Linked DNA regions of Macaca mulatta. The protein of the gene in region 2 interacts with the protein of the main gene of each other region in a pairwise test. Links are inferred from orthologs where the notes say so. Each region holds a gene or a part of one and is shown on either strand. Other genes may lie near its edges. The genes, in order: BYSL, LONRF1 and TRIM42.

The links.
Region 1: the proteins of LONRF1 (region 2) and BYSL interact in binary tests that used the Homo sapiens proteins (3 or more experiments, as listed by UniProt). The two-hybrid records come from large-scale screens. The link is inferred for Macaca mulatta from reciprocal best matches to the Homo sapiens genes LONRF1 and BYSL.
Region 3: the proteins of LONRF1 (region 2) and TRIM42 interact in binary tests that used the Homo sapiens proteins (3 or more experiments, as listed by UniProt). The two-hybrid records come from large-scale screens. The link is inferred for Macaca mulatta from reciprocal best matches to the Homo sapiens genes LONRF1 and TRIM42.

The regions. Positions count from the first base shown.
Region 1 is NC_133409.1:140,241,213-140,243,587, reverse strand, and holds part of BYSL (bystin), read left to right. Parts: intron 1-291; coding exon 292-425; intron 426-1,069; coding exon 1,070-1,230; intron 1,231-1,401; coding exon 1,402-1,504; intron 1,505-2,043; coding exon 2,044-2,375. UniProt on the Homo sapiens protein: Required for processing of 20S pre-rRNA precursor and biogenesis of 40S ribosomal subunits. May be required for trophinin-dependent regulation of cell adhesion during implantation of human embryos.
Region 2 is NC_133413.1:13,058,310-13,062,064, reverse strand, and holds the start of LONRF1 (LON peptidase N-terminal domain and RING finger protein 1), read left to right. Parts: upstream 1-1,334; 5' UTR 1,335-1,419; coding exon 1,420-2,140; intron 2,141-3,755.
Region 3 is NC_133407.1:43,695,734-43,699,388, forward strand, and holds part of TRIM42 (tripartite motif-containing protein 42), read left to right. Parts: coding exon 1-326; intron 327-2,714; coding exon 2,715-2,939; intron 2,940-3,655.

The DNA.
Region 1 (2,375 bases), on a different chromosome or scaffold from region 2:
TTTTGCCTGCATCTCATACTAAAGAAGTCATGGCAGTAGAAAACAGACCTAAGAGGCAGAGTGTGTGGTTTCAGATTCCTGCTCTGCCTGTAAATGACTTGGCAACCTTGGGTCAGTTACTGGAACTCTCACTGGTCATCTGTAAAACGAGCATAATAATGGCACCTCCTTAAAGGGTTATTGTGGGGATGAAATGAGTTAATATATTAAAAGCACCCAGACAAGTTCCTAGCCCACAGCAAGCTTGCCATATGTGGATGACAATGATTGTTTTACCTCCCTCATCCCTAGGTATTATCTAAGTACCGCAGTGGAAAACTGCCTAAGGCATTTAAGATCATCCCTGCACTCTCCAACTGGGAACAAATCCTCTACGTCACAGAGCCTGAGGCCTGGACTGCAGCCGCCATGTACCAAGCCACCAGGTAGAGTAGATGGGGATTTGCAGGCCTTGGGTCTATAGGTGCAGGCTGGGCTTGGGACGGACAGGCTTTCCTTGCCTCTGGCCCCAGGGCCCTCTCTGCTACTTTATAGCATCATTTTTCTAGCTTTTCCTGTGTCATTTTTTGGGGCCAAGACCCAGTTAGCCAGTTAGGAACCCTCTGTGATGAATTTCTAGGGGAAGAGGCTTTTATAGCCACTGGGATACAGCCCTCCATGATCAATTTCTAGGGGAGAGGCTTTTATAGCCACTGGATACAACCCTGTAGCAGGACCCTCAGAAGTCTGTGACTGTCCAGACATGCTCAGGGCCCTAGTGATAGCAAAATTGAGAGAAGCCATGATAGCAAGAGGAAGGAGAGTAGCTGCGTAGCCATCAGTTTGCACAAGCTCTGGCTCTCCCACAGACAGACGGCACTCCTCATTTGGATATATCTCATTGCCCCTCCTATTCTCTCTCTAAGCTGATGGGTGTTGCATGCACACAGCTCCCACACATCCCTCACTGAAAGAAAGGTCCCATATTTTACTTGAAAACCTCTTGTATGCACTATCCATGGTGATATTTAATGGGCCGGGTCCAGACTGTCGTGTGACTTGGAAACTTCCCCGACTTAACTCCCACTAGGATTTTTGCCTCTAACCTGAAGGAACGCATGGCCCAGCGCTTCTACAACCTTGTCCTGCTCCCGCGAGTACGAGATGACATTGCTGAATACAAACGACTCAACTTCCATCTCTATATGGCTCTCAAGAAGGCCCTTTTCAAACCTGGAGCCTGGTTCAAAGGTGGGATCCCAGAGGCAGGGAAGAAAGTGAAGGGCTGGAGCTTCTATGGGGAACACAGCAGGCCTGATGTGGGAAATTGCTAGCTGTCCCTGGGCTGGGTGGGAATGCTTCCTACTGTAACTCCTTTTTCTCATCCTGGGCTCATAGTGACTGCCCTTTGACTCTCCCCAGGGGTCCTGATTCCACTGTGCGAGTCTGGCACTTGCACCCTCCGGGAAGCCATCATTGTGGGTAGCATCATCACCAAGTGCTCCATCCCTGTGTTGCACTCCAGGTAGCGTTGCTGGGGGTGGAGCGGCGGGGTGGGGGCTGGTCAGTGGATATCCAGATAGTGGAATTGCCAGGACTTGGGGATGGGTAGAGTGGAGAAGAAGCTAAGGATAGTCTTGGGTTTGTGCTTATTTAAGCCAATGAGTAGGTGTATCATTATCCCCCTAAATGTAAGTTCTGCAACAACAGGGCCCGAGTGCCTGGTATAAAGAAAGTACTCAGTAAATAGATGAACAAATGAGTAGGAAACACAGGAAGAAAGTAGTTAGGGTGGAGACGTTGAGATGTTTGGACCATACTCTAGTTGGGTACTGAAACAAGCAGTCTATGCTGGAGGTAGAGATTTGGGTGGATCCCTGTAGAGATGGTGACTCAAGTCAAGCAAGTATAATACGATTGGGTAGGTGAGAAGGTCCCTGGGGAATACCATAGTGTAAGGGCCAGCAGAGGGGAAGAAAAAAGGGGGAAAGCACAGAGGGAGAAGTAGGATCCTTCTTCCAATGTTTTCCCCGCTAACTCTACCCCACCTCCCTTTCCCACTAGCGCGGCCATGCTGAAAATTGCTGAGATGGAATACAGTGGTGCCAACAGCATCTTCCTGCGACTGCTGCTGGATAAGAAGTATGCACTGCCTTACCGGGTGCTGGATGCCCTAGTCTTCCACTTCCTGGGGTTCCGGACAGAGAAGCGTGAACTGCCTGTGCTCTGGCACCAGTGCCTCCTGACTTTGGTCCAGCGCTACAAGGCCGACTTGGCCACAGACCAGAAAGAGGCCCTCTTAGAACTGCTCCGGCTGCAGCCCCATCCACAGCTATCCCCCGAAATCAGGCGTGAGCTTCAGAGCGCAGTCCCCCGAGATGTGGAAGATGTTCCCA
Region 2 (3,755 bases):
ATATCTCTATCTTTTCTGACGTTACACGACTTGCTCATTGTGTAGTGAAAACACATTAACTCAAAACATTTTTTAGCCTTAATTGCCGTTCCTTATAAAGAGAAATATTAAACTTATACCATTTTCAGACATACTATGCTCAGGTGAACTTTCCAATTAGCAACTTCCTTTACTTTGACAATCTATTTCTATGAAATATTACTATTATTTTATTAAATATTATATATGATCAGTCTAACGTAGTAACATAATAGTGGAATAGACGTGATCTTAAAATCTATATTAGCTGTGTGATTTTTGACAAATAACTTTCCCTCTGTTTCCCATCATTTGAAAAAGGACTAAAAGTTCTAAGTGACTCCTAACATTAACAATCTAATACCCTATAATCAAATCTATAAATATTTTCAGCGGAGAGCTTTAAACTTGCCGCTGTGAAGTTTAAGGGAAATAGCACCTATTATATATCAACCCCATCATTTTCTTCTGTTGGCAAAACTGCAGACCCTGCTTGGGTTGTAGTAATACGGTGACCGCCACGTGAACAACATTTTTCTCGGTGTTTTCTTTTAAATATGCCAACTATAGACTTTAACCAGCTGTAAGGCAGTGCCTGAGGTGTGGAGACACCTGAGGAACTGTGTGGGCTTTCTCCCTCGAGGTGGGCCTACGATGAGTTTTAAGCAAAGGGCAGCAGTCACCTGGCACCAGGAAAAACTCCTTGCCCTCTGGAGGGAGTCGCCCCAGGAACGTGGGTTTTGTGTTCCTGTTTCAAGTTGAGTCCTCTAGAACCGAAGAGTCCCAGTCATCTGCCGAAGGTGCCCTCCCAGGCCCCCTGCTTGGGAGCGCCCACCTGGAACCTGGGCATAGAGGAATGAAAATGCAGACCCGCACAAGCGTGAGGACACGCCGGGAGACCCCCGCCCGCCAGGAGTTGGGGCAGGTCCGGCTTGGGCGGGGGCGTCGGGGGAGGGGTGGTGACCCTGAGTCCCGCGCGGCAAGGGCGCGGGCCACCGCAGGTGGGGGCGTCGGCGAGCAGGCAAGCGGGGACGGAGACTCTGGGCTCCATCGGGCTTTGTTCCGTCACGAGCCGAGCCCTCCTTTCCGGAGAAGCCAATTAGATCTCCGACGGAGGAATCATCCGACCTGCGCCCCCGCCGGGAGGGGGCTCGGGAGGGGCGGGGCCCAGCGCTTGGCTCCTCGCGAGCGCGGCCGCGGGCTGCGTGGGGGAGTCCCGGCGCCGTCGCCGAGCCCGGCCCCGCCCTCGCCAGGCCCCGCCCTCGGGGCTTCCCGGGCGCGCGCCGCCCCGCCGTGTCCGCGCGCCACGCCCCCCTGCTCGCGGGCCGCGTGCGGAGCCGCGCGCCCGGGAGGCTCCCGGACCGTGGCGGCGGGCGGCGGCAGCGCAGCCCTCCGCGGGCCATGTCCTCTCCGGCGGTGGCGAGGAGTTCCCCGGGAGGGAGTCGGGAGATGGCCCCGGCGCCGCAGGGCCGAGGCCGGTTCTGGGAAGTGGGCGGCGGCAGCGGCCTTCGGCTGGAGCGCGCGGCCGCGGAGTCGGAGCGCTGGGAACTGCTGCTCCGCCGCGGGGAGCTGCTGGCGCTGGGCGGCCACCTGAAGGGCGCGCTGGAGGCGTTCGCGGCGGCGCTGCGCCGCGGGGCCCCGGCCAGGCCCGAGTGCCTGGGCGCCCTGGTGGACTGCCTGGTGTTCAACTACCGGCTCCGCCACGGGCTGAGCTGGAGCGCGGCCCCGGCTGCGGGCGCGGACGGCGGCGCCTGCGGGCTCCTCAGATGCCTGGGCTGCCGGGGCTTCCTGAGCGAGCCGGTGACCGTGCCCTGTGGCCACAGCTACTGCCGCCGCTGCCTGCGGAGGGAACTCCGCGCCCGCTGCCGCCTCTGCCGGGACCGGCTGCCGCCCGCCACCGCCAGTGCCACTGATGCTGAAGGGACCGCCCCGCGGCCGCCGCCTCTGGCAGCCGCCATCGCCGCCTCAGACTTCAGAACCAGCGTCGTCCTCAACCACCTGGCCGAGAAGTGGTTCCCGGGCCAGCGCGAGCGGGCCCGGGCGGCTGGCAGACTCGGGGAGCTGCTACACCAGGGGCGCTACCGGGAGGCCCTGGCCGCCGCCTGCGAGGCGCTGCGAGCAGGTGACCGCGCGGGGATGCGGCGGGGCCGGGCCGACCGCACCCTCCTGGCCCCGAGGGCCGGGGACCCGGAGCTTGTCTGCGTCCCGGGAGTCTCCTCTGCTTCCCCGGGGCCGCTGGGCCACTGGCGTGTTGGGTCTCGGGGTGCTGGGGGGTGTGGGAGGGGGCGGCGCCCCGGGGTGCTTCGGTCACAATGGGGATCGCCCTGGGAGCCGACTGTGACGCAGCGCGGGGAGGGGCGCTCGGCGCGGGGTTCCCTCGGCCGCGGCCTGGCCGTCGGGCGCGCGCTCCGGGCGCGGAGTGGGTGACCGGAGCCGTGGGTGCCCCGGCGCGGGATGGGTGGGAGCTGGGCTATCCCGAGCGGCCGCTCGCTTCCTGCCGCGCGCTTTCCGGGAATTGACTCTCTCGCGCCAGGCCCGCCGCGGGGAAACGACTGCCGGGGTGGGGAGAGAATCCCCCACGAGGACAACTAGGCCGGGAAGGCGGCGTCTCCCTTCCTCACCCACAAAAGTCACCGGGACAATTGGGAGCCGCGGGAGGGCAGAATTGCATAAGCTGGGGGCGGGGGTCGTTGTGTAACGGGTGACGTCCGGTGGGCGTGGCGGGAGCTCCGGGCGGGCACCCGGCCCCGGGAGGCCCCGCAGGCCGCCGGGCTTGGGGCGCGGGGCGGAGCTGCCCCGGGTGGTCCCTTGCTACCTGGAAATGCCTGAACTGGTTTCTCTCGAAAGTTTCAGCCGGCCTGTTTCAGATCATGCTTATTTCCTATGTACTTTGCAGTGCACCTAGCTTATGGTAAAGATGAGAGGGGCTTCCTGATCCAGAGTTCTTTGCCACGCTTCTCTTGGCCGTTCCACTTAGGATCAAGCTGTGGGGAAAGGCCTTGTAGGTCTTGAGTGCATTTCTTAGTCTCCAAGAAGCAGCCTCGGCCTCCTAACCTAGGTTAGCTAGCACTTTCTTCTTAAGGTGGTTTTAGGCGCTGAAAGGGGGCAGTGTCAAGCTTCTCTTATGTAAAAGGAAGAGTTGTTCTTTAAATCAGTAGTTCTTTACCAGCAGGATTTACCTCCCCTCTCTCAGGGGACATTATCTAGAGCAATATCTGGAGACATTTTTGGTTGCCACCTCTTGTGGGGGTGGTGCTGGTACCGACATCTAGTGGGAGAGGCCCGGGGTGCTGCTCAGACATCCTATGAGGCACAGCAGGATTCCCACAACAAAGAATTATCAGGCCCCAAGTGCCACTGTTGATAAACCTTGTGTTACGCGTATTTCAAGATTTTAGTGTCTATCCATTGGCATGATAGTTGGGGGAATGGCATGATAGTTGGGGGATAGTTGGGGGAATAATCCCCAAGAAAATAGACATCTAGAATAGCAGCTGACTTTAGGTATTACAGGTAAATTTATAGACTGTGTAACTGAAAGGATCATCTTTCGGGTCATCTTTTGTCCCAAGTGCTTAGTCATATTGAACTTACGTCAAGATCTTGCATTGTTTAATATCTTCAGAGTTCGAAGCACAAACACCGGAGATTTTTGTATTCTTTCAGTGCCTTTATGAGGAGTAGGCAGTTATAAAATAGAAAGATAGGCTCAGAACAAAAGAAAAGTGTTTGGAACA
Region 3 (3,655 bases), on a different chromosome or scaffold from region 2:
CAGAAACAATGATTGCCAGGAAGGTCACTTTCAGCACCCACAGCCTCGGCAACCAGCAGATATACCAGCGAAGCTCCTCCATCTTATCCTTCAGCAACACTGAGGAGAAGGCCAAGGTGGGTCTGGAGGCCTGTGGGAGAGCCCAGTCAGCCACCCCCGCCAAACCCACAGATGGTCTCTACACCTACTGGTGTGCTGGAGCAGACAGCCAGTCTGTACAGAACAGCAGCAGCTTCCACAACTGGTACTCATTCAACGATGGCTCTGTGAAGACCCCGGGCCCAATTGTTATCTACCAGACTCTGGTGTACCCAAGAGCTGCCAAGGTAAGAAAAGTTCTGGGCCCAGTGGGGAAGGTGGGAGGGTTTGGGGTACAGAGTAGAAGTCAGTAGTCAGGAAAAGTTGCACTTGTCTCTTTGACCTCTAGGATCTGGTCACTCAAATCTGCTCCTCTAGACTCTTTGTGGTCATCCCATTCAAAAGGGATAAGTTCCGGGAATCTTAAGTAACCCAAGATTAGCTTAAACCAAACGGTCAATATATTTAACTTACAGTCGTAAATATATCTGAAAGCCCTACCTCCACTGCAAAGGCAACTTCTCAACTGAAAGAGAACCCTATTTGGGAACCAAAGTAATTTGAAGACACTACTTGGCAGTGTAATGTTTCCCAAAGGAAAGCCTGTAATAGAGACAGCACAGAAATTGGAGTTACAAATGCAGGCTCCATTACCTACCAGCTGTTTCCTCTAAATTGCTACCTTTCCTAAAGCAAATATCCAGACTCTCTATGATTTGGAAAAATTGGGAGGATCATCCCCAATGAAATTTCAACTCTTCTGAGATTCAACCCGCCTTGAAGGCAGAGAGTGAAGAGTGAGGTCTCTCACAGATCTCTATAAGTGCCATTGCCTGGCTTCAAGGAACATGACTTCCCTTTGACCCTCTTGACCTAACATGAACAACATGAACAAATGACCTTTTCTTTAACATACCTTTCAAATCTAGTTGAACCCACATTGAATTGTTTGTAGAACACTTTATTAAGGTTTATGGAGGAAAAAAATTAACGTGCAATGAAATATTCTATTTGAGTTCCTCTTTCCTCCTCTTGGATTTTTTTCTAGAGTCAGCCCATGTCCTGCTCCCACGTGGCAGAGTTCATCTTTTGTCTCTCATAATCTGAGAACACTCCCAAAGACTTTTAGATCCTTGAGTTCTAAACTAGCAGTTCTCAAACATCGATGTGCACCTGGGGATCTTGTTAAAATGCAGATTCTATTTTAATAGGTTTCAATGGGGCCTGAGATTCAGGTTATCACAAACTTCCAGGTGCTGCCAATGCTGCTGTCTACAGCCCACACTTTATTATTAAGGATCTAAAAAATGAAGGCCAGACACAGACCAAGCTCTACTTTTCCATTCTCCTGACACATCATAATCTATGTTTTGTTGTCTATAACTGACACAAAGAACAACCCATACTTTGCAAGATAGAACATTCCATGGGCTATTGACATAATGAAGTGTTTCTGCCCTTCACATAAGCAATGCCCATAACTGAGCAGCTGAACTACATTTCCAAATGATACTAGATCAGCAAGGCCTATAGTGTATGCTTATTACCTCAGGGATAGCACTGGGTCTCATCTCCTGACCAACTCAGACCTCTTAAGAAGTTGGCAGGCTCTTGCTATGGAGCCAGAGAATTGGTAGTATCTGCTCTATACCTGGGCATGGAAAACAGTCACCCCATGCCACCTATTAGTCACCCCTGATGAGCTCAAAAAAGGGACCTATGCAAAACAACTCAGTCAAGTCATTTGCTGTCAAAAGAGGACACCTAAACCTATTTCCAGATAGTGATATTTGATTTTAAAATATCATTGATTCATATTTTAGGATAATGGAATGGACTTCATACAGGAATCATAGTGCTTAGCAATGCAGAAGATTAAGTCTATGTTAACATCACTCTCAAATCTTTAGGATTTTAGCATGGAAAATATTCTAAAACTTAATGTTGTAACTTTTCAATATGTACAGTTAATATCCTAGAGATTTTTTAAACTCAATTTTAGTTCTAGGAATCTCTTCCAAGAAAATTCTTAAAAATTCAGACAAATATTTATGCCCAACAGTATTTATTACAGCATTTATTTATTAGAGTATAAAATTAGAAACAACCTAAATGTTCAACCATAGAAGGATTAAATTATTTCGGGAGAAATTTTAAAGATGGTAGTTTACTGAATTTTTAATGATTTAGGAAAACATACAACATAAGTAAAAGAAAATAGAAATCAAAGCAACATAATCCAAGTTATATACATATATGTTTGTGTGTGTGTGTGTTCTGAAATTGCAAAGAAATAATAATGAATTAACTGAATTGTGAGATTACGAGTGATGTTTATTTTCTTCCCCTCTATTTTTCAGTATTTTTCAAGCAGGAGGACAATTGTCACCTCCACGTTGGCTGACAGTAACAGTCACAAACCTTCTGTTTGTGAAACTCATCACAAGCATCATGCCAGGCCTCATCACACAGCCTTTCAAGACTTATGCATAGTCTAATTAAAAGTCTTCGGCAGCTACAGGGGATAGGGTCAGCTTAAACTCACCCCACAGATAGTCAACATCACAAATCTTTAATGGAAAGAAAACTGAATGATGTATACCAGTACCACACCAGTATGTTCATTTCTTCCATAGGTTTACTGGACATGTCCAACAGAAGACGTGGACTCTTTTGAGATGGAATTCTATGAAGTCATTACTTCCCCTCCTAACAACGTACAAATGGAGCTCTGCGGACAAATTCGGGACATAATGCAGCAGAATCTGGAGCTGCACAACCTGACCCCCAACACAGAATACGTGTTTAAAGTTAGAGCCATCAATGATAATGGTCCTGGGCAATGGAGTGATATCTGCAAGGTACTGTGTACATTATTTCTCCGATTTTTTTTTTCTATGATAGGTTCTGGATGAGACCCTGTTAAGATGATCATGAGATTATAGAACTCACCATGGGACTCTTCCTCTAAGCACAGAACATTTGTTAACTTGAGGCCAAAGAGAGGGCTGCTGGCCTCAACCAGACTTCGCAGATGAAGCCTGAGAATTGTTCTATTTGATTCAAAAACATTTGTTCTAGGCATTGTGTAGAGATGTAGAGATTCAGAGGAAAATAAACATAATCCCTGCCTTCAAGGTGCTCAGGGTCCATAAAAAAATAAGTGTTGTGTGAGAAGGATATGAAATGATTGTGGTATGAGAAAGATAAAAATGAGGTGCTATTCTCAGGCAAGGATGGGGTGCCAGATTTAACAAATAAAAATATAGGATGCCCAATTAAATTTGAATTTCTGGCACACAATAATTTTTATAAAATATGTCCAGTGCAATATTTAGGACCTATTTATACTAAAAACAATTGTTCATCTGAAAGTTGAGAAACTGCCACTAAGCAGGTCAGTGTGGGTTCCAAAAAAGAAAAGACAAAATTATTCCTATCTTCTTTGTGATCCAAGACTGATTCTTCTTTATATCTCCAGGGAATACACATTCATGAATATAATTTTACTGATATTAAAAGGAGAAAGAGAATAAAAATACCAAGACTGCCCAGAGCTGCTCTCTTACCATATAAC